3 linked regions of the Pelodiscus sinensis genome follow. The protein of the gene in region 3 purifies or fractionates together with the protein of the main gene of each other region. This does not show direct contact. Links are inferred from orthologs where the notes say so. Each region holds a gene or a part of one and is shown on either strand. Other genes may lie near its edges.

Region 1 (10,261 bases), on a different chromosome or scaffold from region 3:
CATGCCTTGGTGCACATAACTTTATTTTGTACATGGATGGGAAAATCTAGTGTAAACAGATACTACAGACATTAGAATTATGTTCAAGTTTAAATGCTTGCCTGGCACTAGCATATTTCAGTTTTATGCTAGTTCATCAATTTTATTTCAAATTATTCTGTTTCTTACTTGGACAGAGCTATTTTTATACTTTGCTTGTCACCCTGTCTGCAGATCAGTGTAAGATATGTGGGCTTTATAATTTGTACTCTGGAAAACAATCGTTTTTGGAAAATGTAGATGTAATTTTATTTAATGTGGCTCAGATATGACAGGTTCATCTTTTAGGTGATGATTTGAAATCAAATTTCCAGCAACTGGCTTCCTTTTATTGGCTTTGCAACTGGAAAAATTTAGATGAGACCGTTCTTAATGACATATGTAAGAACTACTTGAATTAGGTACTTAATGTAGCTAGGCAGTTGATTCCTTCTACTAGGAATTTATAATAAGTACAGTGGAGAACAGTATTACTTTTTTATTTTGAAGAAGGTGGGGATAGAGAAGCTGCTGTGATGGATCATCGAAAACACTAGTGTTCTAAAGGTTTCAAAATAGATTCAGTATGGATTTTGAGGTGTCATCTTTGAATAATTCTGTGACAAATATATATTTATAAGAGGAGAGAGGGTCATCTTCATATCGCTCCACAACTTGCCACCCAAACTAAACTATGTAATTTGGATTACATCCTTCTTTAATGGTTTTTTTTTTTTTCACTTTAATTGTAAAGGCCGAGACTTCTCTCACGATGAAACTCTGGATGTACCCACGCAAGTAGAATTGCTTATTAAGCAAGCTACTTCGCATGAGAATCTCTGCCAGTGCTACATTGGATGGTGAGTCTGTCTTTAAACTGTCCTTTCAAAATCTTCTCTCCCATTTCTCTGAAATAAATAGTGGTATGAGTTTATGGAATGGAGAACAGTCAAGTAAAATATTATTAGGTTTATCTCAATAATCATTCTGAGGATGGCTGGGGAGATATTGTATGTAAGCTTGTAAACTTTTGTGACCATTATATTAAATCTAACAAAATGCAAATTAGTTAGATTTGTTAAATCTAGCAAAATGGAAATTTGATTTAGAATCATCACCGCGGGCACTGCCCGTAAGCAGGCAAGCAGTCTGCTACTAAAGAAAAGGGGCTTATTTAAATGATGATCAACTCAGAATTTTTAATCATTTGAAACAAGATGTTCCTATTGTATGTAGATCACCAATTGCTAGTTATAGGAGGGAAATTACAGAGTCTAATGTCAACAAGCACACTTTCACAATGCCTTCATCTTTCTGAGATTTAACTGTAAATTGTATGCAAATTATGAATCCTGGTGGGCGATTTGGGGGGGATTACAGACATTAGGAATGTTAGGGATTAAGAAGCATTTTCTGTCTCATATCCCATTTTCAGTGTCCTTGTTATTTTAGAAAGGTTCCTGGACATTGGGGACCTAAGTTCTTTTTAACATAGTCTTTGTTTTTATGGAGCAATGGCTAAGACTGCACTTAAAGTATTACATTTGTCATCTTTAGGTGTCCTTTTTGGTAACAGAAGATTCCAGAGTATCCTCAGCCTTTCTTGGAGGCTTTTGCACTCCAGATATATTCTTCTACAAACTGAAATCTTGGACTGAAATACAGCCTGTCATATATTTCAAAATGTAAATTAAGAGTTATTGTATATTAAATGTTGGTTTAAGCCAATTCATAGCTGCTGTTGAAAAACACAAGTTATATGAAACACAAGACTTGATTTGGGTTTCCAGAACAATGAAGACTGACTAGACCACAAATACCTGGTTCACTTGGTCTTTGAGGAACTGGTGATCCATTACAAATAACAAAATACGGGTTTTGACTTGACTTACAATGTAACTATACTAAAATATTTGCAGCTGAATCATTCCCAGGTCAGTCCTTTTGGCGTGGCTGCAGTGAACTCAGTGCCCTCATGCGAGAATGCACATTTAAGTGTGGGACAGAGCTGGAAGGTAGAGAGCAAGAAGAAGGAGGAGGTTTTTTGTCAGTATTACCCCATTATCTCACCTTTCCCAAAACTCTGTACTCTCACCAAAAACAGAGGGAAGGGATTGTAGTTGAAAGATGTGTGTCTGACTCCAGGGGTGATTTATCTAGCACATTTCAGATGTGAAATATAGAGATAGATCCAGGGTCAAAGCCTCTGAGCCAGTCAGAGCAGAATGTCTCAAAGAAAGAGGGTAGATGGCAAGGTAAATCAGAATATCACTTGGGAACTTCCCACACTGGCAGACTGAAAAGCAGTGCTGGGAAATAATTAGGGAAAACTGAATACTCAGCACAAAAAGCAGAAGGGAGAACTGGTCATACCTGGAAATGAAGAATAATGCATATTAAACATGAGGGTGAAGGTAAATAAAGTTATGATTTATTAATAAAACATATTAAAATGCACAAAATACAAAAGCGTAGCCATGTTTAGATGCCATGTTGTATTTGAATATTTTTGTGTCAATAAAATACACCAAAATGTTAAAAGATTGACTGGATTTTGGTTATTCCAAAGCATTTCTTGTGGAGAGCACAACTGAGACACAAAGGTATTACATTAGACAGCGGTTCTCAAACTATGGGTCCTGAACCTGGTTTAATGGGGTCACCAGGCCTGACATGAAGACTTGCTGGGGCCGAAAACAAAGCCTGAGGCCCACTGCCCAGGGACAAAGCTTATAAGGACTTTAGCCCTGGGTGGTGCAGCTGCAGTAACAGGTGTCCTCTCTGGGGCTGAAGCCCTAGGGCTTTGTTTTTGGCCTATGGACCTGGGGCAATGGGGATCAGATTTTGGTCCTTTCTCCTAGGGTTGTGCAGTAATTTTTATTGTCAGAAGGAGATTGGAGTGCAATGAAGTTTGAGAACCCATAGCAGAAACCTACAGGAGCCACAAACACGGTTGGCAGAGTATGGGGTATCACTAAAAAACTTGGGGTACCTTTATCAAAGGAGTTTAACTGTTAATAAACTTAGTTGCGTTTCATCATCAACAATAACCATGGGCTCAGTGCCCGTTGGTGTCCAATGCCTCCCTCACTATTTCCTTCCATCTTTCCCTGTCCAGTGCGGAGTGGCTTAGCTTCTGTAGACTAGCTCCGCACCATTTTACTATATAATCTACCCATTCTCTGTGGGGTCTGCCTCTCCTATTCGGACCATCCATTATGCTGAATACCGGGGTCTTAACTTTTCGCTCGTCGTTCATTCTGCAGATTTGCCCGAATAGCTGTAACTTCCGTTGTATAACTTTCTGCAGTAGGTTCTCTTTCAGCTATATCTTCCTACATAATTCCGCATTGGTGATCTTCTGCACCCATCCTATTCTCCAGGTCTTTCTATAACAGCTCCTCTCAAAAGCCAATATCCTTCTCTTGCTGGAAACTAAAACAATGTTCTTAAGTGGACTGTAATTTGGTAAGAATAAAGTTTCTTTATTCTAGCTTTTGGGGCATTTTTTTCTCGTTACAAGAAACTGATTCTGAGAGACCAAGTACATAGAATTTTAATCTTATCATTGTGGTGTATATGGGGAAGGGATGGTGGTTATGCTGTTTCTTCTTAGCAAACATTTTCTATTGATACAGATTCGAAGATGCTAAGGTTAGAAAGATCCATTATCATTTTGTATCCAATACTACACTAGCCACAGAAATATATGGGAAATACCAAGGCTGTGGCTAGACTGCATCCCTTTTCCGTAAATTTAAATCTCCCCCGCTTCATTTGCATAAACATAACTGCCGCTTTTTTCCGGCTCAGAGCTTTGCCGGAAAAAAGCACCAGTCTAGACACGGATCTTTCGGAAAATAAAGCCTTTTCAGAAAGATCCCTTATTCCTATTAAAATAAGGAATATGGCATCTAAACATTTAAATCCCCCCTTCATTTGCAATTGCGATGTGTCTAATTTGCATCCCTTTTACGGAAAAGGGATGCAGTCTAGACACAGTCCAAGTGTCTGGACAGGGATAGGGAAAAAAAGTTTCACCTGTTTTAATCTTCATCATTCCTGCTTTGAGAGAACCAGCTCCCCAAGATTGTATACTGGTGGAGGAATGTCACTGGTAAGAAGCTGAGGTGTAGTCTCCATCTGCTGGTAGACTGAAGTGTGTGCCACGCATCTAACCTGTACAGAAAACTCCAGGAATCAAAGCCAGCTCACCCGCGTGCCCTTATGTCAGGCTGCAGCCTGGTCAAGATTAGACCGGGTTGTCGCAGGAAATGTCCATTTACAGAAAGGGCTTAAGCCCTCCCGATGGGGAGCAGCGTGGACACCCTCCAAGGTGCAGCCAAGCTGCTGCCCAGAGGGAGGCGTGGTACGGGACAGGCTCGCTGCCCGAGGGCCGCAGGTGGGGCAGCCGGCAGTAGGGGCTCCTGGAGCTCAGCCAGACGGGCACCTGCCCTACTCCCCAGGTCACAGCGGCTTTGGCTTAGGCCGAGAGTGGCTGAGCTCAAATGGGGGGGAGGGTGGCGTATAGCCAGTGCTGGGCTGAGCGCCCCCGGAACACGCCGCAAGGGGCGCTCCAGGACCCTCGCTCGCTCTAGACCAGACTAACACGGCTGCATCGCTACCGCTCTTAGGCAGGGACCCTGCAAGTCTGCCGCCCACACCTCAATGCGCATGCGTCTAGCAACACTTCCACCATACACACTCCCCCCACCCTTTTTCCGGTTCAGTTATCGCGAGACTAAGCCATTGACGCGTCACGTGGGACCGCGCGGAAGATGGCGGCTGCCGGCGGAGGCGGGAGTCGCAGCGCAGCCGTTAAGACGAGCCAGCTAATAGACGCGGGGAGTGGCGGCAGCACGGAGGAGCCGCCGGGCGGCTGCCCAGATACCGTTCTACCGGGGTTCAGGGATGCTGACTCCTTCGTCAAGGTGCGTGAAGGAGTCGCTGCAGACTACTACTCCCAGCCTGCTCTGCGGCAAACCCTGCAGCGGGGCATGCCGGGAACTGTAGTTCCTTCCCTCCCCCCACCCTGCTGATGCTGAAGCCTGAGGGGAAGCTGCCTGCACTGGATTTCCCAGCATTCTCTTTGCCGGGTCATGGAGGATGGCCCTGCCGCCCCGGGGCCCTCGCTCTGAGGGGAAGCGGGGCCGGGAGCAGTGACCCTGAGCCCGCCGCTGCGCCTGGGCCACCCATCGCGGCTGCGCGGAGGAGGCAGGGGGAGCCTGGGGCGACTGCGTGGGGGTTCGGCCCCGCTGCTGCAGCAGCCTCTGGAGCTGTGACGGACCTTACCCCCCCCCCCCCCCCACAGCTCCTGTCTGCCCGCCCCTCCCTCTCCGATACGGCCTCCCGGTGTCTGGGCGCCGCCGCCTTAGCTCCTTTTGCCCTGGGAGAGGGGGGCCCCTGCAGCCCACTGGCCTGACTTGTGTCACGTTTGCAGGCCTGTTAAATGAAGCGGTGCGAGCCGCGGGCCCTGGGACTAGCGTCGTGCACGCGGGCCTGTTGTCTGTGTGGGCCCCGGCTGCAGTCTCCTGTTTTCCGAATATCGCACTGTCTTCCCATTCCTGGGAAGTTGTCCGCATAACCTTTCAAATTAGCCACGGCAGCGGTTCTCAAACGTCTTCGGCTCCGGAGCCCTTTACATGTGTAAAAATTTATGCGGAGCCCCAGCGGTCCACTGATTGTATGTGTTGTACCTATCGATGTTTCCAGTTTGTCAACCTTGCAGAGCCCTGGGGCTCCGCAGCCTTTCTCAAACACTGAGCTAAGGCATTCCCTGCAGGGGAGTCTGGAGAACTAGAATCATGGTGGTGAGATAAATAGGACATAAACACCTGTAGTAGCTCATGAATGGGCTGTGGTGCTGAAAGCATCCTTAAATTTAGTTATTTGTCTTAACAGGAAAAATTCAGAAGAAACCCACAAATTTGGCAGCACTGGTGTGGTGGGATTCTCTGTATTCTTAAATTATCACTATGGTACAGCAAGAATGGCTTTCAAAATGTGTTCAACCGTTAGACCTTAATTTTAGCATATAGATGAACTTTTAAAAGGAATTGTTAACTGAAGCTTGACAGAGTGTTCTACAAATTGATTTACAAACCATAGTGTTGCCATCACTACAAACTTAATTCCTACATGTTCCCTCACCCATGCACCTTATAGACCAAAATCTGAGCTACACAAGGTCTACACAACAGAGTTTAGATTGATGCAAGGCATCTTACATTGACCTAACCATGAAAGTGTCCAGACTTTCACTCCTGCCAACTTAACTGCCCCAATAATTTCACCACTTAGTAGCATAGAATCAAAATTAATGTAGTTACATTGATTCAGTAACAGTGTACACATGACATTATTGTATAGACTGTTACTAGCTTCCCTAAATGCTTCACAGTGACAGTAAAATCTATACAAATGCACCAGTAACACAAGGAGCAAAGTGTAAACATGCACAAGCGATGCAATTATTCCAGCAGTTGTGTACCAGTGTAAGTTAGATTGATTTAATTTTATAGTCTAGATATGGCCTAGAGCAATGGTTCTCAAACTATGGGTCACAAGCCCATTTTAATGTGGTCACCAGGGTTGGCTTAGACTTGCTTCAGCCCTGAGCCCTACCATCCAGGGCCAAAACCTATGGTGGTGGGACTTGGGTGGATTCAGGTTTCAGTTCAGAAAGGGTTCACAGTGCAATGACATTTGAGAAATCCCCCCCCACCTTAGAGACAGCACTTCCTAGTTCTGAAGTTGTAGCCATTATACCCATATTTTTATTAAATCAAAATATCTTCGGTGTAAGGTTTTTCTTTTATTTTTTTAGTATTAGTTTAATTAAGTCAGGATGAAATAGTTGTAAACACTCTTGGTTAAAAAGGCCTAGTTGTGGCTTGGTTTAGGAATAGTAATGTAAGTGCGAGGAATGAGATTGTAATAGTAATGTAAGTGCGAGGAAGGTGTTCATCTGGCAAGATCATCAAAAAATGAAAATACATTGTGGAATTATATTTTCTTGGTGTGATGCTTTTTAACAGCATGCGCTTGGCACAGTGGTCGCTGCAACTAAAGCATCTAATGGGCTACCTCAGCCTGGAGATGAATATGACTTCTATCGCAGCTTTCCTGGATTCCGGGCATACTGTGAAACACAAGGTGATAGGCTGCTTCACTGGTAAGGACTTTTTAGCTTTCTTATGCCAGTGGTGAAAATCTGTGTTAGGGAACAGAGAAGTCTCTTCTTTGCAAATTTCAAAATAAAACAATATATGAGCATTTTTATTACAATTTTTCTGTTGCTTTTTAAAAACGTCAGCTGCTTTTCTGATTCATGAAATTTAAATGGTAACAATAAAAATGGAGTCATTCATTTTACCTCTGTAAAGTAACTGTAACAATTTAGGTGCGCCACTGAGTAGGTATGGGCTGATGGAAAGGTGACTTTTTAACCAGAAGACCCAATCTAAGTTCCATAGACCCAGTAAAGAAATTAATAGCAATACTTAGTACTTACTCATAGCTTCTCATTTTCAAAGTTCTTACAACAGTATCTAAGGAGTCTGTGTCTGATTTTGTAAGTCTCGGAGTAGCCAGAGCTCAGAAAGGATCTTAACAAATAACACCAGTTTTCAGAATACCTGCTTTTAATGTCATTTAAAGAGTAACTGAACTATTGTTTTATTAGTATGAGCAAGGTGATGCAATATCATGGTTGTCGGAGTCACGTGAAAGATCATAACAAAGCAACAGAGCTGGAAGATAAATTTGATTTGCTGGTCGATTCCAATGATGTAATTCTTGAAAAAGTGGTGAGAGAACTTTCTTTTTTTAATCTTGTAATGATTCAGTAGATCCTGCTTTCTATAGGATTTGGAATGGCAATATTTAGTAATTACACTTTGTTCCTCATTCTCAGACTTCCATTTTTAACGTTTTTTTTCCTCTTCTAGTAACTCTTTTAGATATCTCTAGTTTAAAAAAAAATTAAATCCAATGGGAAGTTATTTTTCTGAGCTATCATTTTTTTTTCTACATTTCTAATCAGCAGTAGGGTGGAACTGAGCAAGAATGCTTACTTGTATGACAGTAGCACCAAAGGACACCAATAGATATTGGGACCCATTGTATTATGTGCTGTACATACAGCTAAACTGCCCCTTGGCTGGAAAACTTACTGTCTAAATAAGAAAGGCAAATGGTGGAAGGGAAAGCAGAGACACAGAGAGAACACGTGATTTCTCTAGGTCAGTGGTCCCCAACCTTTTGGGGCCGTGCCGGAGGCCCGGGGGCGGGGCCACCCAAAGCTGCACACTATGGGGCCGGGGCCGCCCATACGCCGCGTGCCCAGTGCCAGCACCATCCATGCGCCGCACTCCTGGGGCAAGTGCCACTCCTGAGCCATGTGCCCAGGGGCTGGCACTGCCCATGCACCACGTGCCCAGGGCCGGGGCTGGCCCCATCACTCAGCGGGTGCACAGAAATGGCCTGACGGGCGCCATGGCACCCTCAGGCACCACGTTGGGGACCACTGCTCTAGGTCACACAGCAGAAAGAATAGAAATCAGGGCTGCAACTGTTCCTAAACACCAGACATAGTCAAACAAACATTTCCATTGCAAACGAGAGAGAAGGCTGCTTGTGTACATCTGCCAGAATAGATGTTCCATAACTACTCCAAGAGAGCAAGGGAGCTGGAATAGTTACCCCAACCATAAAGAAGAACAGATTGGTAGCTGATTAAATTGACCATGTGGCTGAGTCCACAGTGCCACTTGCATTCAAAAGTAAAGTCTCTTAAACCAGAGATCTAAATCAGCGCTTCCTAGACCTCAGTAATGGCACATTCGGCTATGGTACTGTAGCCTCCCACAATTTTATTCTCTGCTGTCTGGAACCTCATGCAATCTTTATGCTTGTGCAAAGTGAGTGTGAAACATGCTTAAGAAATGCCATGTGATCTGGGGCTGGGAATCCAGCACTCCAAGTCTATTTCTGGCATTGCCATTAACGTGTGGTGTGACCTCGAGCAAATCATATTACTTTTGTGGGCCTCAGCTTTCCTTACAACCTTTTATCTATTTAAACTATCAGCTTTTTGGGTCAAGGACGCTCTTATGATTTGCCTATGCTGTGCCTAGAATGATATGTGCCTGATATCAGTTGGGGTTACTAGATGCTGCTATCATATAAAAGGGGGGGCGGGTTCCTGACTCCCAGACCAGTGCCTCAGCCACTATAATAATAATAATAATGGTGCCACCTCTATTATAATAATGGTTAATTTCTCAGCATGGCTGAGAGCTGTTTACTTATCATGTTTTGAAAAGCAAATTAGATGCAAGATTAACTCTGTATTAGCCTATCTCAAAACCGGGCAGAGTGTAGAGTAAGATACGAGAGGAAAGTATGGAAGTAGGGTGATCAGCACATAAATATCTCTGAAGAAATTCAACTTTGATTCTTTGGCAATTGCTTCTCCCAGTCTCTAACATTAGGATTTCATATTTAGCCTTTGGCCACTCTTGCCCATTACAAAATTCCAAGGAGATGAACATGGCGACAGCTGCACATTTCTCTTCTTTCAGGCAGGGCAGACTGCCAACTACTAGATGTTTCATACAGTTTTGCTTATACTTCTTTTCCCAAATTTCAGGGTATTTTACTAGATGAAGCAGCAGGAGTGAACAAGAACCAGCAACCTATCCTTCCTGCAGGGATGCAAGTCCCAAAGACGATCATTTCCAGTTGGAACCGCAAGGTGAAACTTCTACAGTAAATTGATTTTAATTAATTTGAGCTTTTTATTTAGACTTTGAGTTGTGATGGTAGTTAGGAGTTCAGTAGCCTCTCTTTACTCCAGATTCAGGATCCCCTGGTTTCGAATCTACACTTTATGCCCATAGATCTCTTTAATCTGATGTCAGGTCCCTGGGGGCACCTAATTTAGATGCTGGTGTATAGGCCTTAGATACTGTGTCCTAGTTTCAGGAGAGTTTTTGTCTGAGCTTAATATTCAGATGCATATAGGCAAGTCTTAATAGACTATCTCAAAATCCATTCAGATACGTTGTTTTTTAAACAGAGTGGAGAATCCCACAGAACAAAGTCTGAAATCTTCCGATTGCTACATGCCAAGAATATCACTCGACCACAGCTCAGATTTCGAGAGAAGATTGACAATTCCAACACCCCCTTCATACCTAAGCTTTTTGTGAAACCCAATGCTCTGAAACCATTGCCTGAA
Region 2 (10,261 bases), on a different chromosome or scaffold from region 3:
ATCAAGATAGCTTTCCCAATTATCACCTCTAATACCATTAACTCACAAACATCCCACTCTCCCCACCTCTAATATCGTCAATTCACAGACACTTACCTTCCTTCCTCCCCCCGCCCTGCATTCCCCTCCTGTTCTGAAATGTGATTTGTCCTTTTCATATGTGTTCATTTTTTTTAATTGTATCCTTTGGTATATATGGTTGTGACTATTTTCTTCCACTATTTGATCTGAGGAAGTGGGTCTGGCCCACGAAAGCTCATCTTGTTAGTCTTTAAAGTGCTACATTGTCCTGCATTTTGCTTCAGCTACCCCAGACTAACACGGCTACATTTCTATCACTATTCTGTATAGAGTATTGATACCTAAAGCTTTTTAGACAGTTACGAAGCTGAGCAACGTGTATATGATTGGGGACTGTTCTCCCACTACAAGCAAGTAGAAAAAGGCAGCCGCTACAGTATTTCATAAAATTGTTCCTGTTCAGAAAACTAAAGGCCTTGTTAGCCATTTAAGCACAGTTGACTTACTGAATAATCTTGCTGTGAATCTTCTGAGGACTGGGAATTATATAAAGTGAATAGAAAAGAGGTTCTTTTGAAAATGTGTTATGAGATTCCCAGAAGACATTTTACTGGTCAAAAAGGGTATGTCTATGTTGCATTCCTCCTTCAAGAGAGGAATGCAAATGCAGACAAACGAAATTGGAAATGAAGCGTAAATTTTAATTTCCCGCGCATCATTTGCATAATTGCAGCCAGCCGTTTTTCCGAAATATCATATTACGAGGGGAAAAAGTGGTTATTTCGAAAAGAAACCCTTCCTTTGAAATAACCCTTAAACCTCATTTTTAAAGAGTAAGGATTATTTTGAAGGAAGGATTTCTTTTAGAAATAACCCAGTTTTTTTCTTGAAATACAGTATTTTGGAAAAGTGGCAGGCTGCAATTATGCAAATGAAGCATGGGAAATTCAAATCCACGCTTCATTTGCAGTTTTGTTTGTCTGCATTTGCATTCCTCTCTCAAAGGAGGAATGTAATGTAAACATACTGAAAGAGAACTACACAAAAAAAAATCACTATCCAGAAGCTTTATTCCTTAAAATGTGTAAATAGTTTTGAAATGTTTCATTAAATGATAATTAATTTTTTTTTAAATGTACTAACACAGGAAGCTGGAAGACAGATGATTACTGATGGGTTTTGGATACTTCTAGGTCAACAGTTCAGATCAGCCACTTGATGATAACCAAAGTTATTACTATCTGCTGGTTGTTTAGCCTCTGAGAAATAGATTGGTTGTCTCAATTCAGTTCCTAGTACATATATCTTTACATAAGAAATATCTTTTTAAGGCAGTCTCAGTGAAGGGAGTAGGGTCTGAATGATTATAGAGAATGAACTTTTTCACCTCAAGAGGCACTATCTTTAGGCTAAAGATGTTGAAGGCAGATAGGCAGGATACTGTCAGGCTGTGTCTACATTGGCAAGATTTTCCGCAAAAGCAGCTGCTTTTGTGCAAAATCTTGCCACCTGTCTACACTGGCTGCGAGTACTTGCGCAAGAACACTGACGTTCTAATGTCTAAAATCAGTGTTTCTTGCGCAAATACTCTGATGCTCCCGCTCAGGGATAAGCCCTCTTGTGCAACTGTTCTTGCTCAAGAGGCCAGTGTAGACAGGCAACGTTAATTTCTTGTGCAAGAAAGCCCAATGGCTAAAATGGCCGTTGGAGCTTTTTTGCGCAAGAGAGCATCAACACTGGCACCAGGGCCGGCCCGAGCCCTTTTGGTGCCCTCAGCCCAGGTGCGCGGTGCCGCTCCTGGGTGCAGGGCGCATGCGCATACCGGCCACGGCCTCTGGCAGGGCCCGACAGCCATGGGAGGAAGGGCGCTGCTGGCTGGTGCCGTGGGGATGCAGGCAGGTCAGTGCTGTGGGAGCCGGGCGCGCAACTCCTGATGGCAGCTGTAAGGGACACCATCAAGTGCCTCTCATCGGTTGGCGCCCTGGGAGCTGCCCGGCTCGCCCATGCCTCCGTCCAACTGACTGGCACGGATGCTTTTGCGCAAAAGCACATCTCTTGCACAAAGGCACATGCCAATGTAGACGCTCTGTTGCGCAAATACTTTAATGCAAAAACTCCTGCGTTATAAGTATTTGCGCAAAACCTTGCCAATGTAGACGTAGCCTCATAGTGCTCAAATTGCTGCTACAGTTTAAATCTCTTTAGTGTGGTACCCTTAGGTCCCGATTGGTGTTAAACTAGAAAATTTGTCATATCATGGGGGGGGGGGGGGTTCAATATTGTCTAGCAGCATTGCCAACACTTCCACTGCTTACAGGGCTCTTAGAAGACATTTAGGGGTAAATTAGTGCTAAATAACAACACAGAACACTGAGAGCCAGGACTGGTGGGTGAAAACTTTATGGGACCGTGGGAAAGTTGGCTACTCACGTAAGTGGACGTCAGCAAGATTTTACTAATGTTGCCAGACCAGAGTGTGCAGGACTAGAGAAATTCAACTTGTATCACATTGCACATGACCGGTGGCTTGACAATCTTCATTTGTATTCTTTGCTGTTAGGCGGACACCTTTAGCTTGGTCTACACCAGGGGTCTCCAAACTACGGCCCGGGGGCCGGATGCGGCCCGCGAGGCCCTCTCATCCGGCCCGTGGAGACCTTTTTGGATTCAAAGGCAGAAGAAGTGAGATTGTTTCAAAACCCATTTGAAGCAGATGTGGCCAGTTGCCCAGATGAACTGCAGCTGGAAGTCATTGAGTTGCAAGCAAATGACCTCCTTAGGGACAAGTTCAAAATAGGACTGGTGGGTTTTTACCAGTTTTTGCCCAAGGAAGACTTTCCTAATGTCAAAACTTTTGCATCAATGTACCTTTCAATCTTTGGAACAACATACCTGTGTGAACAAACATTTTCAAGAATGAAATACGTGAAGAACAATTTGAGAACAAACTTGTCCGATGATAATCTCAGGTCACTGTTGATGTTAGGGACAACAAATCTAAAGCCAGAAATGTCTGCTATTTTGGCATCCAGGAAACAATTTCACCATTCACACTAATACAGGTGTTCATGTGTAGTGTATGAATGTGTTATTAAATAATAACTGAATAAAATAATATTAAATAAATAATTAAAAACAACATCCATGTTTTGATTGTTTTTTATTTGGACCTCAAGTGTGCAGTCGGCCCCGAACTGCTGTTTGATAGTTAATGCGGCCCTCGGGCTGAAAAGTTTGGAGACCCCTGGTCTACACCAAAGTTAGGCGGACACAGATACCTAACTCAGCAATGTGACACACCTACGTCCTTGAACAATGCCATTCATCTGATTGTCAGTATGAATGCCAGTGAGGTACTGGGGGGGGCACTGATGACAAGGGTGTCAGGGCAGCGGCACAGCTGGGCCAGTCTGGGGAGGATGGGCATGGCCAGTGTGTGCAGAAGGAAGCGCGGGCGGGACGCCGTGGCCAGAGCCTGGTTACTGGGGTGCGGCGCAGGCAGGGGCCCGGGGCAGGGCGTGGCTGGGACTGGCGCGTGGGGAGGCGCAGAGAGCGCGGCGCTGGTGAGGGGGTGACCGGGCTGGGGAGGGACCGCGGGGCAGGGCGGGAGGCGCGAGCGCTGACGCGACATTGGGCAGGGGAAAACTCGCACTCGGCGCACCACCTTGGTTGGCCCGACCGGCGGCGCATGCGCAGACACTAAAGGAGCGCGGGGGGGGGGGTGTTTTGCGCCTGCGCACAGCGATTCGGAGCGGCCAGGCGGAGACCAAGATGGCGGCGTAAGGCTGCGGCCACCAGCGCCACCGAGTGCGAGCGACGCCGCCGCCGCCATGTCGCGGCACAGGAACGTCCGAGGCTATAACTACGACGAAGGTAGCGAGACGCCTCCGCCTTTCCTGTCCCCGGTCTCTCCGAGTAGCTGCCCCTCGGTCCGGCCTGGCAGCCCCAGCGGCCTGAACGCGTCTCCTGGGGCGGACCCGCGTCCCCGCCAGGCCATGGGCCGGGCCCCAGGGGGCAGCAGCGTGTGTGAGGGGGTTAGGCCCTGGGGAGGAGGAGCTGGGATGGGGGCTTACTGGGCCCCATGGGAGGGGGCTGTTTCCCTTCCAGTGCCCAGGCAGGGCTTGTTTACGAAGCGCCGTGCGAGGCGCGTGGGTTTAACTCCTTCCCTTGCAGCTCACCCATCCCCACTCTGCGCGGGGCTTTCACAGCGCGGCGGCGGCGGGGGGGGATACTAAAGAAGTAGAAAAGCATTTTAAAAGCACCTCATCTGGCAGGGGTTGACGAGGTGGGGGGGGAAGGACCTTACTGCTTTCTGCTCTCTTGGAAACTGGCTGCGTCCCCAGCGGGCAGCGCTCCCTTCCCACCTACTGCGGACAAGCTTGTTTCCCCCCAGCCCGGCGGCTGGGCGCTGCGTGTTCCGCGTGTTTCCCGGCACCGCGCGTGACGTCACAACCACCCGACCCATCCATCCAGGCGGCCTGTTGCTCTTGGGCAGGCAGGAAAAGAGGGGATTTGTAGGGCCGGTAATAGAGCAGCTGGTTTCTAGACACTTTGTCTTAAGATGGAAATGTTTAAGGCTCTGTGTATCTTATGTTTGCCTTCGTATAACTATATTATTACCAGCTCCTGTGTCAGAGTAGCTTAGCTGGATATACTAGCGTTCTTTGATATTCTGTCTCATTTACTTAGGAGCTCACTTATCAGTGATTTGAAATATTGATTTTGCACCTCTCTTTAACCAGGGTGTGTAGCTCCTCATAGTAGTTTAGGTCTAATTTGTATCAGTTTATCTTCCAGTTGTGTTATTACAAGAAACTCAGGTCACTAAGATCTTTTCCTTATTTTTCACCAGCGTAGCTATAGTAATCCAGTCACCTCAATGTAGATATATTGCACTCATGTAAAATGGGGTTTGTACTATTAGGGTTTATTAAACTACACGAATGAAAGCAACACTTCATTAATCCAACATCTACATTAGGGCTACGTCTACACTGGCATGATTTTCCGGAAATGCTTTTAACGGAAAAGTTTTCTGTTAAAAGCATTTTCGGAAAAGTGCATCTAGATTGGCAGGACGCTTTTCTGCAAAAGCACTTTTTGCGGAAAAGCATCCGTGGCCAATCTAGATGTGGTTTTCCGCAAAAAAGCTCCGATCGCCGTTTTCGCGATTGGGGCTTTTTTGCGGAAAACAAATCTCTGCTGTCTACACTGGCCCTTTTGCGCAAAAGTTTTTCGGAAAAAGACTTTTGCACGAACGGGAGCAGCATAGTATTTCCGCAAAAGCACTGACAATCTTACATGAGATCATCAGTGCTTTTCCGGAAATTCAAGCGGCCAGTGTAGACAGCTGGCAAGTTTTTCCGCAAAAGCAGATGGTTTTGTGGAAAAACTTGCCAGTCTAGACACAGCCTAGGAGTTTGGCTCACTGGTGAAAATTAACCTAAAATAGACATGGGTGTTCTCTGCTTGATTATTTCACCCTTTGAAAATTAAATCAATTTCACCTATTCTGTATTAGGGTTAAGATCTACAAATGTCCCTACTTATAAGTGGTTTTCAGTTTCCTGTTAAAAACTTGGGTCCCTATCCTTCAAACACAAATGAGTAGTTCTGCACATGATTAATCCTTTTCATTCAGACTACACTGCTTATGCAGCTAAAGTTATTTGCATAAGTGTTTGCTGGATTGGAGCCTTTAATTGCTATCTGTGTATAATGGCCATCTTATGTACACCAGAAACTTAGTCTACAATTCATGTTGTATCTAAATTTGTTCTGTGTGTATGTATATGTCTGTACACATAAGTATAAATATACATCCAGAGAGACATACATTATAGAGACATGTTGCCTGTACCATAAAGTTTTGGTATGAGTTTATGTTTTCGGTTGATGATGCAATTTTCTATGTTTGTATCAGTAAATAAAATGAAATCACTTCTAGTGCTGGACAGGGCATATCAGATCTTGCATTCCTACAGCAAAGGTGGTTAGTTCACTGAAATTAGGAACAAGAAAGACCATTTACACATCTAATATGTATTTCCTCGTTTTTGTCCAAAATTTTGCTGACGTTAATCTCACTGCGTTAGCTCTGCCAGGAATAGCCATGGTGGAGTGTTAGTGCATATCTAATGATGTCATGGCTAAATCACAGGCAGTCACTTGTGCTTTCACTAGCTTGCTCATCATTGTACCTCTGCTATAGCTATGCTGACTTGGGAAAAATTGGGAAAACAAAAGGAGAAAATGCATCTCCTTCAGTGAAAAATCAAACCATGCTTGTACTGGTATGATTCCATATGAGTTATTGTGGGTAGTTTTTCTTTTTAATAATTTTGCTGTTCTTCCTCTATCCTCTACAATTAAAACTCATAAATACAAAAGGAGGGGGAATAATTTTTCAGTGGCTAAAATGGATATAGTAATAATTGCCACACTTATTTATAAATACATCTGGCAATGTCCAAAGAGAAGATCAATACTATTTTTGGGGGTGTAATACAATTTTGTTTTAGGTATGGATATTAAATTTTGATTAATCAGCTAATCGAGTAGTTGATGGAATTTCCATCGACTACTTGATTAGTTGATAAAGGGTGGAGGGTGCTTGCTATCCCACTGTGCCTCGTCCTTTGAAATATACAAGAGCGGCCCACGACTCTTGTACATTTCAAAGGGATAGGTGCAGTGGAATGTAAGTGACTAGTTGACTATCGGATAAGCAGAAGTGTATCGGATAGTTGACTAGTGATGCGACTAGTTGCTTCTCCTCATCCCCCCCTTGCTGCCTCTATCAGAGAGAGGTGGCAAGGGGGCGAGGAGCAGAGCCAATGCTGAGGGGAGCCAGCTTAAAAGCCGGTTTCCCCCCAGCACAATCGATGCGGGTGGCAGAGGAGGTAGAGGCACAGTTGGAAACCGCGCGAGTGGTGTCTGAAGCAGTCTTCACTTGTGCCACTTTTGCATTTCTGCTTTTCAAAAGCAGAAGCTCTGCAGGGAGCACAGGGCCAGTGGGGGAGTCCCTGCTGGTACCCCGCTCTCTGCAGTGCTTCCTTCTGAAATGTACAAGAGCCCCACAGTGGCTTTTGTACATTTCAAAGGCTCAGGAGCTGCAGGGATCTCTGGGCCAGTCCCCTGCTGACCCTGCACTCCCTGCGGGACTTCCTCTTTTGAACTGTAGCAAGAGCCCAGCAGGAAAAATCGATGGAAATCCCATTGACTATTCAATTAGTTAATCTAAATTTAACATCCCTAGTGCAGCATTTGGGACCCCACGCAAGTGGGACTGCTTTGGTCCCTGCTTGCAATGTTTCTCCCGCTGCTTCTCTGCCTCCCCTACCCTCCCACGGGGACGGTGCTGGGGGGAACAGATTTTAAGCTGACTCCTCCCAGCACTAGCTCCTGCTCTGCCCCCTCAATGGGTGCCTCTGATAAAGAGGCAGGAAGAAAGGGGTAGGAAGCAACTAGTTGAGTAGTGACTCAGTTACCCAATAAGCCTAGACTTATTGGGTTGTCGACTAGTCACTTACATCCCTAGTTTTAGATTTTGTATTTATGTAAAAATTGATATACCTGTTGTTTATCTGGGAATGATAGGAACACAAGAATTACCATAAGAGATCATACCAGTGATCCATCTGTCTAGTTCAGTATCTTGCCTTTAGCAGCCTGTATCCAGTATCGAATACTTCAAAAGAAGATGTGGGCAATTCCAAGGTAGATAACCAGCAAATAACAAGTTTATAAGAGAAGCTTCTTAATACCTGGTTTATGCTGTGAAGCATGACAATTCATACCTTTTCTATTTTTCTCTATTTAATGTAACTATGTTACATTCTCTATAGAGATAATGTGCTTATTATACATGTATACGTCTGAATCCTGCTAAACTCACATCCTTGATATTTTTTCAATGAGTTCCACTGGTTAATTAGTATGCTTAATTTAAAAAAAATTAATTTTTTTGACTTTCAAGGTCAGTGAATGTGCTTTGATTTTTCATTATGAAAGAGATAAATAGAGCATACAATTTATCAGCACTATACTATTTATCATGTTTTAATCTTTATATAGCCCATTTATTGTCTCCTGTTAAAAGGAAAAAGTCCCAGTCTTTTCAAGCTCTCATTATACAGAAGTCTTCCAGGCCTCTGGTTGGTCCCTTCCCTCCTCTTCACCCCTCCCCCGCTGCTTTGGTTCTTCTTTCAACCTATTCTGTTTCTGCTGTACCCTGAGATGTGGCCAGGACTGAAGGCAGTATTTCAGACAAGAGAGTACCATTGGACTACAGCCTACAGCACGTGCCGTAAGTGGCACACGAGCTGATTTTCTGTGGCATGTGGGGTGGGAGCTCAGCCCCGCTAGCCTCAGGATTGCCGTGCAGCTACAGGCTGGAACACCAGCTCCGGCTTCCTGCTGTGGGAGGAAGAGGGGCAGGATGGGAGAGGTGCACTGCATAGGGTCCAGGGCCTGGGCGTGCAGCTACCGGGAACTATGGGATTAATCTTGCTCCCAGTGCTTCAGGCTCTGCCTCTTGCAGTGGGAGGGTGGGATTGGGGCTGCTCTACAGATCTGAGCTAGGTAGCTGGTCACACATGGAGTGCAGGGCCACTCCCTGTGGGGTGTGCACGGCGCTGCTCCCCGTAGGGTGTGTGCGGGGTGCGGGGAGCCCCTTCCCCAGCATCTTCCTATGCCTGGCTGTTCTGGAATCAGCCTCGGGCTCTGCTTGCCCCAGCCCCGGAGCTGCAGGTCAGGGGCAAGCCCTGGCAAAGGGCTGTGCCAGGCAGGGAAGTGACTCTGCCACCTCCACCCCCTAGCCCCTCATTACCCTAGTGCTGCTCCTGGGGGGCTGTGAATCCCAGCGCTGCTGCCCTGCCGGTGAGTGTGCTGGGAGCACAGGGATGTATGGGTAAGGAGGATGCAGGGGCAGGATGGGAGGGGCAAGGGTTGCAATGAGGGGAATGGGATGATGCAGGGGATCAGCTTGGGCAGGGACCATGGGCTGAGGGGAGTGAGGCTGGAGTAGAGAGATGCGGAGGAGGGGAATACAATTTTTCTTTGCAGAAGTTGCATTTTCCTTTATTTCCCCACTTCTTTGCCTTCCTCCCCAACTGATGTGGCTGCATTCTCACCCTCTTGCCTTTTCTGCGTTACTCCCACCCCCAAATTCCCCCTTGTACTCATATCCCCACTCCACCCCCTCTCCTGCTGCCAAACTCTTCCAGACCCTGCCCTCTTCACCCTGTCCTACACCCCACCTCTTTCCCAGATTCAGCATCCCTATTCCTCTCGCTGGATAAAATAGGCAGTCCCATCCCGCACAATGAACCCCTCATTTTTGTTCCATCCCAGAGCCAAAAATGTCCATAAAATCCACTAACTTTGGAACCCCAGAAAAGTAAATCTGGTCTATGGGAAGCCATGAATCTCAGTCCTCCCTGTTCCTTCCTCTCAGTCTGAGGCTGGAGTATCAAAGGAGTGAGGTGTCTCAGTTGAGGGCAACATTAATGAGGGTTGGGGTTTTTTGGAGGAGTTTTTTTGCTTCTCACTTATGTGGTCCCCAACTGATTTTTCTGTGGGTCAGTGGCCCCAACCCAAAAAAGATTCCCCACCCCTGCCATAAATAAAGAAAACATTGAAACCTTTTGTGTTGGATATAAATTAATAATTTATTTAAAATGAAGTTTGATAAACTAACATGAGAAAGTTAAAATGCTTAATCTGTTTAATAATTTAACTTAAATCATTCTCCCTAGCTGTAGCACTAGCAAAATGGCTCAGGCGTAAGTATGTAATTAACAGTGAGTTTCTGTTAGCAACTAGTGGTCTGTGGAAAGGTTTGCATTGAGCCAGGTGGTCCACAGGGTGCACTGAGAGACCCTCCTCCACTTCCAGGAGAGTGGCCCAGGGCAAGAGGGTTAAATCTTGGCACACCACTTCAGAAAGGTTGCCAACCCCAATTTACATAAAGTCATTCTAAAATGTCTCTATTTTCAGTCTTGTTCTTCATGAATTTTAACATTTTATTTCTTCATGTGTTTTTTTTTAATTTGATCATCTCTGCATCTTGAGCAGATATTTTCATTAAGCTGTTTAATCTTTTTTTCCTAACAAGTTCCATTTGATTTTAGGACTGAATAAAGGAGCGCATTTAAATTTTTATTTCCGATTTGTTATTTTTCATTTGTCAACATTACAGTTGCACTTACCAGTGTGCATTAGTTTATTTCATTTGAAT
Region 3 (10,261 bases):
ATACAAAGGGGGCCATGCGAGGCGTCAAATGAAAGCTCATCTTCTACTGATTCCATAGATGCTATTCATGTGATTGTATAATGTCTGTGTGTGATGTTATAAGCATGGACTTTGTGTGGATACCGAACGTTTCTCTGTATGTGGCTGAGCAATGGGCAAAGCAGCTCAGCCTAGGGACCTGCTAATGAGCAAGTCTCCGTGGAACAATAGCCCTCCACAGGCCAAGGACACACCCCAAGAATGCTCAACTCTTCATCCTAGATGCAGCATTGCAGGGATCAACGAGCTGGAAAGAACTGTGGACCCGTCTGCACAGAGGATGTGCACCAAGGACTTTTAAGCCAGCAGTTATAACATCTCTGCTAGAGCCTGCATCGAGAACTGGGAGATTCGATGCATGGAATGTAGGATACTTTAACAACCTCACTCTCGGGCTTTTCTTTCTCTTAGTAATAAACCTTTAGGGTGCATCTAGACTGGCAAGATTTTGCACAAAATCATGCCAGTCTAGACGCAGCCTTAGATTTTAGATTCTAAAGGATTGGCTCAGCTTCTAGACTGGCTGTGTCTAGACTGGCATGAGTTTGCGCAAATACCTTTAATGGAAAAGTTTTTCCATTAAAAGTATTTGCGCAAGAGAGCGTCTACACTGGTATGTGCCTTTGCGCAAAAGATTTGCTTTTGCGCAAAAGCATCCGTGCTAGTGTAGACGCTCTCTTGCGCAAGAAAGTTCTGATGGCCATTTTAGCCATCGGGCTTTCTTGCACAAGAAATTAATGTGGCTGTCTACACTGGCCTCTTACGCAAGAGGGCTTATCCCTGAGCAGGAGCATCGGAGTATTTGCACAAGAACCACTGATTTTATACATTACAAAGTCAGTGTTCTTGCGCAAATACTTGTGGCCAGTGTAGCCGCACCCAGAATGTAAATTGACCAGGGATCTGCGGCTGGTTTCTTGGAACTGGACAGAACTTGTTTGGGGTAGGTGGGATTGGGTCCTAAACCCCCTCACCTGTGAATGAGGGCGGGGCCATCTAGGGCATGGATATTGCTGGGGTATTGGAGGGGTTTTGTTCGTGAGGCTTCTGACTGGCCAGGCAAGCAACTGAAGTGCTCTATGCAACTGGTTTGGGAAGGTCTCCAGGCTGGGGGCAATAGAGGGCCCCAAATTTGAGCAATTCGCCCTGAGCGGATGCCCTCAGCGGTGCCCAGACACGGCCTGGTCCGTCACAAGTAGTCAATGGAATTTCCTTAACTACTTGACTAGTTGATAGGAACTTCCGGATTCCTCCTTTGAAATGTACAGGAGGCTCCACCCCCGGGACCTCTTGTATATGTCAGAGGCCTGTGGAATCCGTGTGCAGCCTATGGCCAGTGGGAGTCCTGTTGACTCTGGGCTGCCCAGGGGTGCCAGCTTTGAAATGTACAAGAGTCCCCAGCAGGGGATGCAGAGTCCTGAGCTGGCCCCGGCTCCATGCGCCACTGCCACTTTGAAATGCTACGGGGAGCGGGGGTCAGCTGACCCCGGGCGCTGCTCTTTGAAGCACCCGCCTCCCACCCTTTGCTGCCAGGCTACGGCTACATTGGCAAGATTTTGCACAAATACTTTTAATGCAAGAGTTCTTGTGCAAGAGCGTGTCTACGCTGGCACGTGCCTTTGCACAAGAGACGTGCTTTTGTGCAAGAGCATCCGTGCCAGTGCCGACGCTCTCGTCCGCAAGAACGCTCCAGGGGCCGTTTCAGCCACCGGGCTTCCTGCCCCAAGGAATTCCTGTTGCCTCCTGCGCCAGAGCAGCGGGGCCGGGGCCGGATCCCTGAGCGGGGCCGGGGCCGGATCCCTGAGCGGGGCAGGGGCCTGATCCCTGAGCGGGGCAGGGGCCTGATCCCTGAGCGGGGCCGGGGCCTGATCCCTGAGCGGGGGCAGGGGCCTGATCCCTGAGCGGGGCCGGGGCCTGATCCCTGAGCGGGGGCAGGGGCCGGATCCCTGAGCGGGGCAGGGGCCTGATCCCTGAGCGGGGGCAGGGGCCTGATCCCTGAGCGGGGGCAGGGGCCTGATCCCTGAGCGGGGCAGGGGCCGGATCCCTGAGCGGGGCAGGGGCCTGATCCCTGAGCGGGGGCAGGGGCCGGATCCCTGAGCGGGGGCAGGGGCCGGATCCCTGAGCGGGGCCGGGGCCTGATCCCTGAGCGGGGCCGGGGCCTGATCCCTGAGCGGGGCAGGGGCCGGATCCCTGAGCGGGGCAGGGGCCGGATCCCTGAGCGGGGCAGGGGCCGGATCCCTGAGCGGGGGCAGGGGCCGGATCCCTGAGCGGGGGCAGGGGCCGGATCCCTGAGCGGGGGCAGGGGCCGGATCCCTGAGCGGGGCCGGGGCCGGATCCCTGAGCGGGGCCGGGGCCGGATCCCTGAGCGGGGCCGGGGCCGGATCCCTGAGCGGGGCAGGGGCCTGATCCCTGAGCGGGGGCAGGGGCCTGATCCCTGAGCGGGGCAGGGGCCTGATCCCTGAGCGGGGGCAGGGGCCGGATCCCTGAGCGGGGCCGGGGCCGGATCCCTGAGCGGGGCCGGGGCCGGATCCCTGAGCGGGGCCGGGGCCTGATCCCTGAGCGGGGCCGGGGCCTGATCCCTGAGCGGGGCCGGGGCCTGATCCCTGAGCGGGGCAGGGGCCGGATCCCTGAGCGGGGGCAGGGGCCGGATCCCTGAGCGGGGCAGGGGCCGGATCCCTGAGCGGGGGCAGGGGCCGGATCCCTGAGCGGGGCAGGGGCCGGATCCCTGAGCGGGGCCGGGGCCTGATCCCTGAGCGGGGCCGGGGCCGGATCCCTGAGCGGGGGCAGGGGCCGGATCCCTGAGCGGGGGCAGGGGCCGGATCCCTGAGCGGGGCAGGGGCCGGATCCCTGAGCGGGGCCGGGGCCGGATCCCTGAGCGGGGGCAGGGGCCTGATCCCTGAGCGGGGCAGGGGCCTGATCCCTGAGCGGGGGCAGGGGCCGGATCCCTGAGCGGGGCAGGGGCCTGATCCCTGAGCGGGGGCAGGGGCCTGATCCCTGAGCGGGGCAGGGGCCGGATCCCTGAGCGGGGGCAGGGGCCGGATCCCTGAGCGGGGCCGGGGCCTGATCCCTGAGCGGGGGCAGGGGCCGGATCCCTGAGCGGGGCAGGGCTTGATCCCTGAGCGGGGGCAGGGGCCGGATCCCTGAGCGGGGCCGGGGCCTGATCCCTGAGCGGGGGCAGGGGCCGGATCCCTGAGCGGGGCAGGGGCCTGATCCCTGAGCGGGGGCAGGGGCCGGATCCCTGAGCGGGGCAGGGGCCTGATCCCTGAGCGGGGGCAGGGGCCTGATCCCTGAGCGGGGCCGGGGCCTGATCCCTGAGCGGGGGCAGGGGCCGGATCCCTGAGCGGGGCAGGGCTTGATCCCTGAGCGGGGGCAGGGGCCGGATCCCTGAGCGGGGCCGGGGCCTGATCCCTGAGCGGGGGCAGGGGCCGGATCCCTGAGCGGGGGCAGGGGCCTGATCCCTGAGCGGGGGCAGGGGCCTGATCCCTGAGCGGGGCAGGGGCCTGATCCCTTAGCGGGGGCAGGGGCCGGATCCCTGAGCGGGGCAGGGGCCTGATCCCTGAGCGGGGGCAGGGGCCTGATCCCTGAGCGGGGCAGGGGCCGGATCCCTGAGCGGGGGCAGGGGCCGGATCCCTGAGCGGGGCAGGGGCCTGATCCCTGAGCGGGGGCAGGGGCCGGATCCCTGAGCGGGGCAGGGGCCTGATCCCTGAGCGGGGGCAGGGGCCTGATCCCTGAGCGGGGCCGGGGCCTGATCCCTGAGCGGGGGCAGGGGCCGGATCCCTGAGCGGGGCAGGGCTTGATCCCTGAGCGGGGGCAGGGGCCGGATCCCTGAGCGGGGCCGGGGCCTGATCCCTGAGCGGGGGCAGGGGCCGGATCCCTGAGCGGGGGCAGGGGCCTGATCCCTGAGCGGGGGCAGGGGCCTGATCCCTGAGCGGGGCAGGGGCCTGATCCCTTAGCGGGGGCAGGGGCCGGATCCCTGAGCGGGGCAGGGGCCTGATCCCTGAGCGGGGGCAGGGGCCTGATCCCTGAGCGGGGCAGGGGCCGGATCCCTGAGCGGGGGCAGGGGCCGGATCCCTGAGCGGGGCAGGGGCCTGATCCCTGAGCGGGGGCAGGGGCCTGATCCCTGAGCGGGGCAGGGGCCGGATCCCTGAGCGGGGCAGGGGCCTGATCCCTGAGCGGGGGCAGGGGCCTGATCCCTGAGCGGGGCAGGGGCCGGATCCCTGAGCGGGGCAGGGGCCGGATCCCTGAGCGGGGGCAGGGGCCGGATCCCTGAGCGGGGCAGGGCTTGATCCCTGAGCGGGGGCAGGGCCGCCCTGCGCGAGGAGCCCGGTCCGAGTTCCCGCGCTGGGGCTCCCGCCAGCGCCCACTCGGGCTGAACCTGCCCGTGCAGCCACCCCCCCCCCGTCTGACTGGGGCACCGGCCCCTCCCCCCCCTGCGCGGGGAAACTGAGGCACCAGCAGGCAGGGCCGGGTGGGAAGGCGGAGCGGCACAGACCGGAACACTCGCCCGCCCGCCTGACGGGGCCAGCCGCGAAGGGGGGCGGGAAGGGGCGGGGCCGGGGGCAGGGCAGGGCGCGGGGCAGGCCGGGAAGGGGCGGGGCCGGGGGCCGGGCGCGGGGCAGGCCGGGAAGGGGGCGGGGGCGGGCGCGGGGCAGGCCGGGAAGGGGACGGGCGCGGGGCCGGCCGGGAAGGGGGCGGGGGCGGGCGCGGGGCAGGCCGGGAAGGGGCGGTGCGGGGCCGGGGGCGGTGCAGGCCGGGAAGGGGGCGGGGCCGGGCGCGGGGCAGGCCGGGAAGGGGGCGGTGCGGGGTCGGGCGCGGGGCAGGCCGGGAAGGGGGCGGTGCGGGGCCGGGGGCGGGGCAGGCCGGGAAGGGGGCGGGGCTAGGCGCGGGGCAGGCCGGGAAGGGGGCGGGGCCGGGCGCCGGGCCGGCCGGGAAGGGGGCGGGGCCGGGCGCGGGGCCGGCCGGGAAGGGGCGGAGCCGGGGCCGGGCGCGGGGCAGGCCGGGAAGGGGGCGGGGCCGGGCGCGGGGCAGGCCGGGAAGGGGGCGGGGCCGGGGCCATGGCGGGGCTGGAGCTGCTGTCGGACCAGGGCTACCGCGTGGACGGGCGCCGGGCCGGGGAGCTGCGCAAGGTGCGCGCGCGCATGGGGGTCTTCGCGCAGGCCGACGGCTCCGCCTACATCGAGCAGGGCAACACCAAGGCGCTGGCCGTCGTGTACGGGCCGCACGAGGTGAGCCGGGCCCCCGCCGGAAGCGGCCCCTCCCCCCCCGGGCCTCCCCGCCGGAAGCGGCCCCTCCCCCCGTGTCCCCTCCCCCGCCGGAAGCGGCCCCTGCCCCCCGCGGGCCCCCCCGCCGGAAGCGGCCCCTGCCCCCCGCGACCCCCCGCCGGAAGCGGCCCCCCTTCGGAAACGGGCCCTCCCCCCGCGGGCCCCCCCCTTCGGAAACGGGCCCTCCCCTCGCGGGCTCCTCCCGCCGGAAGCGGCCCCTCCCCCCAGCCCCTTCCTTGCGGAGCCCCGCAGCTCTGCCCGGCGGGGGCGGGGGCGGGGTGACCCCCCCGCGAGCCGCCTCCCCGCCGGGCTTTGGCCCGTGTTCGGGACGAGCGAGTCCGGCCGGGAGCCCCCCCCCGCCCGGCGCTGCAGCCCGCGTGTCCCGCCGTTGCAGATGCGCGGCGCCCGCAGCAAGGCGCTGCACGACCGGGCGCTGGTGAACTGCCAGTACAGCATGGCCACCTTCAGCACGGGCGAGCGCAAGCGCCGGCCCCACGGCGACCGCAAGTCCAGCGAGATGACCCTGCACCTCAAGCAGACCTTCGAGGCGGCCATCCTCACGCGGCTCTACCCCCGCTCCCAGATCGACATCTACGTGCAGGTAGGGGTCACCTAGCGCCCCCCGGCCAGAGGCCTGAACCCCCCCCCGGCCAGGGGCCTGAACCCCCCCCGGCCAGGGGCCTGAACCCCCCCCGGCCAGGGGCCTGTACCCGTAACCCCCCGGCCAGGGGCCTGTACCCGCAACCCCCCGGCCAGGGGCCTGTACCCGCACCCCCCCCACCCCCCGGCCAGGGGCCTGTACCCGCACCCCCCCCACCCCCCGGCCAGGGGCCTGAACCCCCCCCGGCCAGGGGCCTGTACCCGCACCCCCCCCCCCCCCCGGCCAGGGGCCTGCACCCGCACCCCCCCCCCCCGGCCAGGGGCCTGTACCCGCACCCCCCCCCCCCCCCCCGGCCAGGGGCCTGTACCCGCACCCCCCCCCCCCCCCCCGAGCCATGGGCCTGTAGCCGTGGGCTGCTGGCTCTGTGGTTTACCCAGCTCCCCATACGGAGCTGGCAGCTTCCTGGTTTCTGCTGTGCCTGACCCCAGTTGCCTGGAGTAGCTCCCTGGAGTATGGGGGAAGGGGTTTCAAGCCTTGCTCAGTGCTGTGTGGGCCTCACCATGGGGTGACCATGGGACATGAGGAATCATCTGGGCCTTCAGCCAGCTGAGCCATTGGGGAAGGAGGTGGTGACCTGTGTGGGGCGCTTGCTGGCTCCTGCACTAGTGTGGGGAGGTTGTTTGTGTAGCATTCCGGAAGGGATCAGCCATGTGCGTTCTGCTCACTCCCCCACTGGTTCCCTGGGCTGCCTAGACAGCAGTGCCAGGTGAAGGGGCGTCTGCCCAGGGCTTATGTTGTTTCACAAGCCAGTGATGCTGCTTTCTAAGGAGGGTTGTGGGCATGAAAGGTCTAGTCCTGAGCTTTGTGGGGCCAGATGCAGAGTCGCTCAGGTGCAGCCTCCTCTGCTCCCTTTGCTGAGTGCTCTGTCTCCCCAGATCCTGCAGGCAGACGGTGGGAATTACTGTGCTTGTGTGAACGCGGCCACGCTGGCCACCATAGACGCAGGCATCCCCATGCGAGACTATGTGTGCGCCAGCTCTGCCGGCTTCATCGAGGACACGCCCCTGGCTGACCTCAACTACGTGGAGGAGGCAGCTGGGGGCCCCCAAGTGGCTCTGGCCCTGCTGCCTAAGTCGGACCAGATCGCCCTGCTGGAGATGAACTCGCGGCTGCACGAGGACCACCTGGAACAGGTCATCGAGGCTGCCAGCAAGGCCTGCAAGGATGTCTACGCTGTGCTGGACCAGGTGGTGCGTGAGCACGTGCACGAGGTCACCACGCTGCTGGGGGAGTGAGCGCACAGGCCTGTGTGCCTAGAACCAGTGCTGCACGTGACTGTGGGTGGGGACAGGGAGCGCTGCCGTGGCCGCCGCAGGGATCGATTCAGCCAAAGCCCATGCCAACACTGCCCCTTTGTCCAGCTGCTTTGTTCTCCGATGTGCACACTGGGCCCAGGTTGAGCACCTCTGCTGGGCGCTAATATCACATTGGTACATGTGAATGCCCCGCGGCGTCTGTCAAGCCTGGTGTTCCTCGCTGGGTGATGGGCCCTGACATGGCTTCCTGGATCTGTAGCCATGGCTGCTGACTCCTGGGCTGTTGGCCTCTCCCATTCTCCTAGGCGCTGCGAGAGGCTGGGGCGCGTGGCCCGGTGGATAGCTGCTCGATCCGTAGATATCAGTGTCTGTTCCTTTGTAGGGGACTGCTGTAAATAAAACATTGTTTTGGTGGAAATTGTATTGTGTGGGCTACCCCCTGGCTGAGTGCAGGGCAGCAGAGAACCAGTGCTGCTGAAGATACGGCCCATGCGAAGTCTGGCGCGTCCCCAGTGCTGGAGGAGAGATGGGGGCTCTGCTGTACCCGTCTCTATTGTGGCTTGGTCCCTGCCTATGACAGCTCCTAGGAAGACTCCAGCTCACACAGGATTAATCGGGGAACCTCCCCTCCCAGACGTCCCCTCTGCTTGCTCACGCTGCTCCCGGGGCTGGTAGGACGGCTCCCTAGGCACCACAGCCTGCCTGCTGTCACCATCACTCCCTGGCCTGCCAGGCTTCGTGCCAGCAAAGCTGCCAGTGCTTGCTGATTTAGAGGAGATGCTTCTGGTGCAAGGCCAGTGGCCTAAGCTGGTCTGGGAAAGCCATTCCCAGGTGACCAGTAGCCTAAGCCCCGAGCTTCCCCAGCACCCATCTGCCCAGAGGAGCAAGGCCAGGGGAAATCCTGATCCAGAGAGGTCGCTCAAAAGCTTCTCTTCCACCAGCAGCAGCGGGTCTGACATGAGAGATTTCCTCTTCCATCTTCTCTTTGCGAGACCTGAAGTATCGATGCCCCAGCTGCTGGCACCCTTTAATACGGCGTTCCTCTGGAAATGGCTGCTAGGTGGTACCAGGCCGAGCCGTCATGATCCCTCACTGTACCATGAGCAGGGTGAGCCTCTGCCTGGTTCCCTGCCCTTGGGCATGGCAGCGCTAAAAGCATTCAGGCAGGTCATGGGGACTGGCGTTTCCATCCTGGCACAGCCTGGCTGGTGCAGTAGCTTAGGGGGGAACTTACCCACCACGCTCTCAGTACATGGAACAGGCTGCAGGGCAGGGAGCTTAGCCCCACTTTGGGCATCCTGGGGGGGACAGACCCGCCACCACAATTTGTCACTTGAGGCCCATGCCTCCTCGCATCAGTTACCACCCACGCTTGCCTTCCTGTGGGGTCCCCTCTCCACAGTGAGAGCAACCTGGGCCCTGCAGCGGACGCTTCACACCAGCTGGGCATGGGGGGGGGCTGAGCAGTGGGGCTCCCTGTCCATTGGTCTGGCCCAACTCTGGCTTTATTCTTGGAGCACTAGCAGCTTGGGGGGCAAGAGCTGTCTGCGTTCTGATTGGTCCTCTGCCTCACCCAGTGGGGGCCAGGCACATGGTGGGATCTTGGCTGCTGCTTCAAAGCTAACAATGGGGAGCCTAGGCACGCGGTGAGTAGCTGGGCTGGTCCCGCCTGGCCTCTAGCCTTGGGAAGGGAGGGAGGGAGGGCTAGTGGTTACAAGGGTGGGAGTGTGAGGGGACAGGGTGGGAGCCAGGACTCAGGGTGTGCTCAGTGGTGGGCCTGTTTGTAATGAGACTTATCGTTATTTGTACGGTAACATCGGGGGGGCCTGGTCAGGCTCAGGACCATAGTGTGTTTAGCACCGCCTGGCCTGCTCCTGTGGTGTCTTGGCTGAAGGTCCTTTCCTCTCGCTGGCTGCGGCCCCTCTCGCAGTGGGGCCAAGAAGCCTGTGCCCCTTGGCCAAGGGATGTGGGGACAGGAAGCACCGACAGGTGGCTGGGTGGGAGTGCGCACCACAGGTGTGAGCCCTCCCCCCCACATGCCCCTCCCTGCACACACCCCGCTCCCTGGGTGCACCCTGCCCCCTGCCTGCACCCCCACCCTCCTCCCTGCACACACCCCGCCCCCTCCCTGCACACACCCCGCCCCCTGCCTGCACCCCCACCTTCCTCCCTGCACACACCCCGCCTCCTCCCTGCACACACCCCGCCCCCTGCCTGCACCCCCACCTTCCTCCCTGCACACACCCTGCCCCCTGCCTGCACCCCCACCTTCCTCCCTGCACACACCCCGCCTCCTCCCTGCACACACCCCGCCCCCTGCCTGCACCCCCACCTTCCTCCCTGCACACACCCTGCCCCCTGCCTGCACCCCCACCTTCCTCCCTGCACACACCCTCCTCCCTGCCTGCACCCCTGCCCCCCTCCCTGCACGCACCCCGCCCCCTGCCTGCACACCCCTCGCCCCCTGCCTGCACCCCCACCCTCCTCCCTGCCTGCACACACCCCGCCCCCTGCCTGCACACACCCCACCCTCCTGCCTGCACCCCTGCCCTCCTCCCTGCACACACCCCGCCCCCTGCCTGCACACACCCCGCCCCCTGCCTGCACCCCCACCCTCCTCCCTGCACACACCCCGCCCCCTGCCTGCACCCCCACCCTCCTCCCTGCACCCACCCCGCCCCTCCTCCCTGCACACACCCCGCCCCCTGCCTGCACCCCCGCCCTCCTCCCTGCACACGCCCCGCCCCCTGCCTGCACCCCCACCCTCCTCCCTGCACCCACCCCGCCCCTCCTCCCTGCACACACCCCGCCCCCTGCCTGCACCCCCGCCCTCCTCCCTGCACACGCCCCGCCCCCTGCCTGCACCCCCACCCTCCTCCCTGCACACGCCCCGCCCCCTGCCTGCACCCCCGCCCTCCTCCCTGCACCCACCCCGCCCCCTCGCCTGCACCCCCGCCCTCCTCCCTGCACCCACCCCGCCCCCTCCCTCTCTGCACGCGCGCTCCCTGCTGCCCTGCCGGACGGGGTGGCCCCGCCCCGGGCCG

Evidence for each region.
Region 1: the proteins of EXOSC4 (region 3) and EXOSC10 purify together in Homo sapiens (affinity purification with mass spectrometry; 9 studies listed by BioGRID and IntAct, with this or other methods). This does not show direct contact. The link is inferred for Pelodiscus sinensis from reciprocal best matches to the Homo sapiens genes EXOSC4 and EXOSC10.
Region 2: the proteins of EXOSC4 (region 3) and HBS1L purify together in Homo sapiens (affinity purification with mass spectrometry; 3 studies listed by BioGRID and IntAct, with this or other methods). This does not show direct contact. The link is inferred for Pelodiscus sinensis from reciprocal best matches to the Homo sapiens genes EXOSC4 and HBS1L.

The regions. Positions count from the first base shown.
Region 1 is NC_134733.1:11,594,188-11,604,448, forward strand, and holds the start of EXOSC10 (exosome complex component 10), read left to right. Parts: upstream 1-4,762; 5' UTR 4,763-4,796; coding exon 4,797-4,949; intron 4,950-5,112; exon of another isoform or gene 5,113-6,407; coding exon of another isoform or gene 6,408-6,512; intron 6,513-7,055; coding exon 7,056-7,192; intron 7,193-7,702; coding exon 7,703-7,826; intron 7,827-9,670; coding exon 9,671-9,775; intron 9,776-10,099; coding exon 10,100-10,261. Other genes in the region: serine/threonine-protein kinase mTOR, read left to right, coding at 773-878, 1,576-1,591. UniProt on the Homo sapiens protein: Catalytic component of the RNA exosome complex which has 3'->5' exoribonuclease activity and participates in a multitude of cellular RNA processing and degradation events.
Region 2 is NC_134713.1:96,326,941-96,337,201, reverse strand, and holds the start of HBS1L (HBS1-like protein), read left to right. Parts: upstream 1-3,736; 5' UTR 3,737-3,851; coding exon 3,852-3,894; intron 3,895-4,283; exon of another isoform or gene 4,284-4,412; intron 4,413-10,261. UniProt on the Homo sapiens protein: GTPase component of the Pelota-HBS1L complex, a complex that recognizes stalled ribosomes and triggers the No-Go Decay (NGD) pathway.
Region 3 is NW_027465833.1:40,480-50,740, reverse strand, and holds EXOSC4 (exosome complex component RRP41), read left to right. Parts: upstream 1-5,043; 5' UTR 5,044-5,093; coding exon 5,094-5,264; intron 5,265-5,694; coding exon 5,695-5,901; intron 5,902-6,836; coding exon 6,837-7,196; 3' UTR 7,197-7,635; downstream 7,636-10,261. UniProt on the Homo sapiens protein: Non-catalytic component of the RNA exosome complex which has 3'->5' exoribonuclease activity and participates in a multitude of cellular RNA processing and degradation events.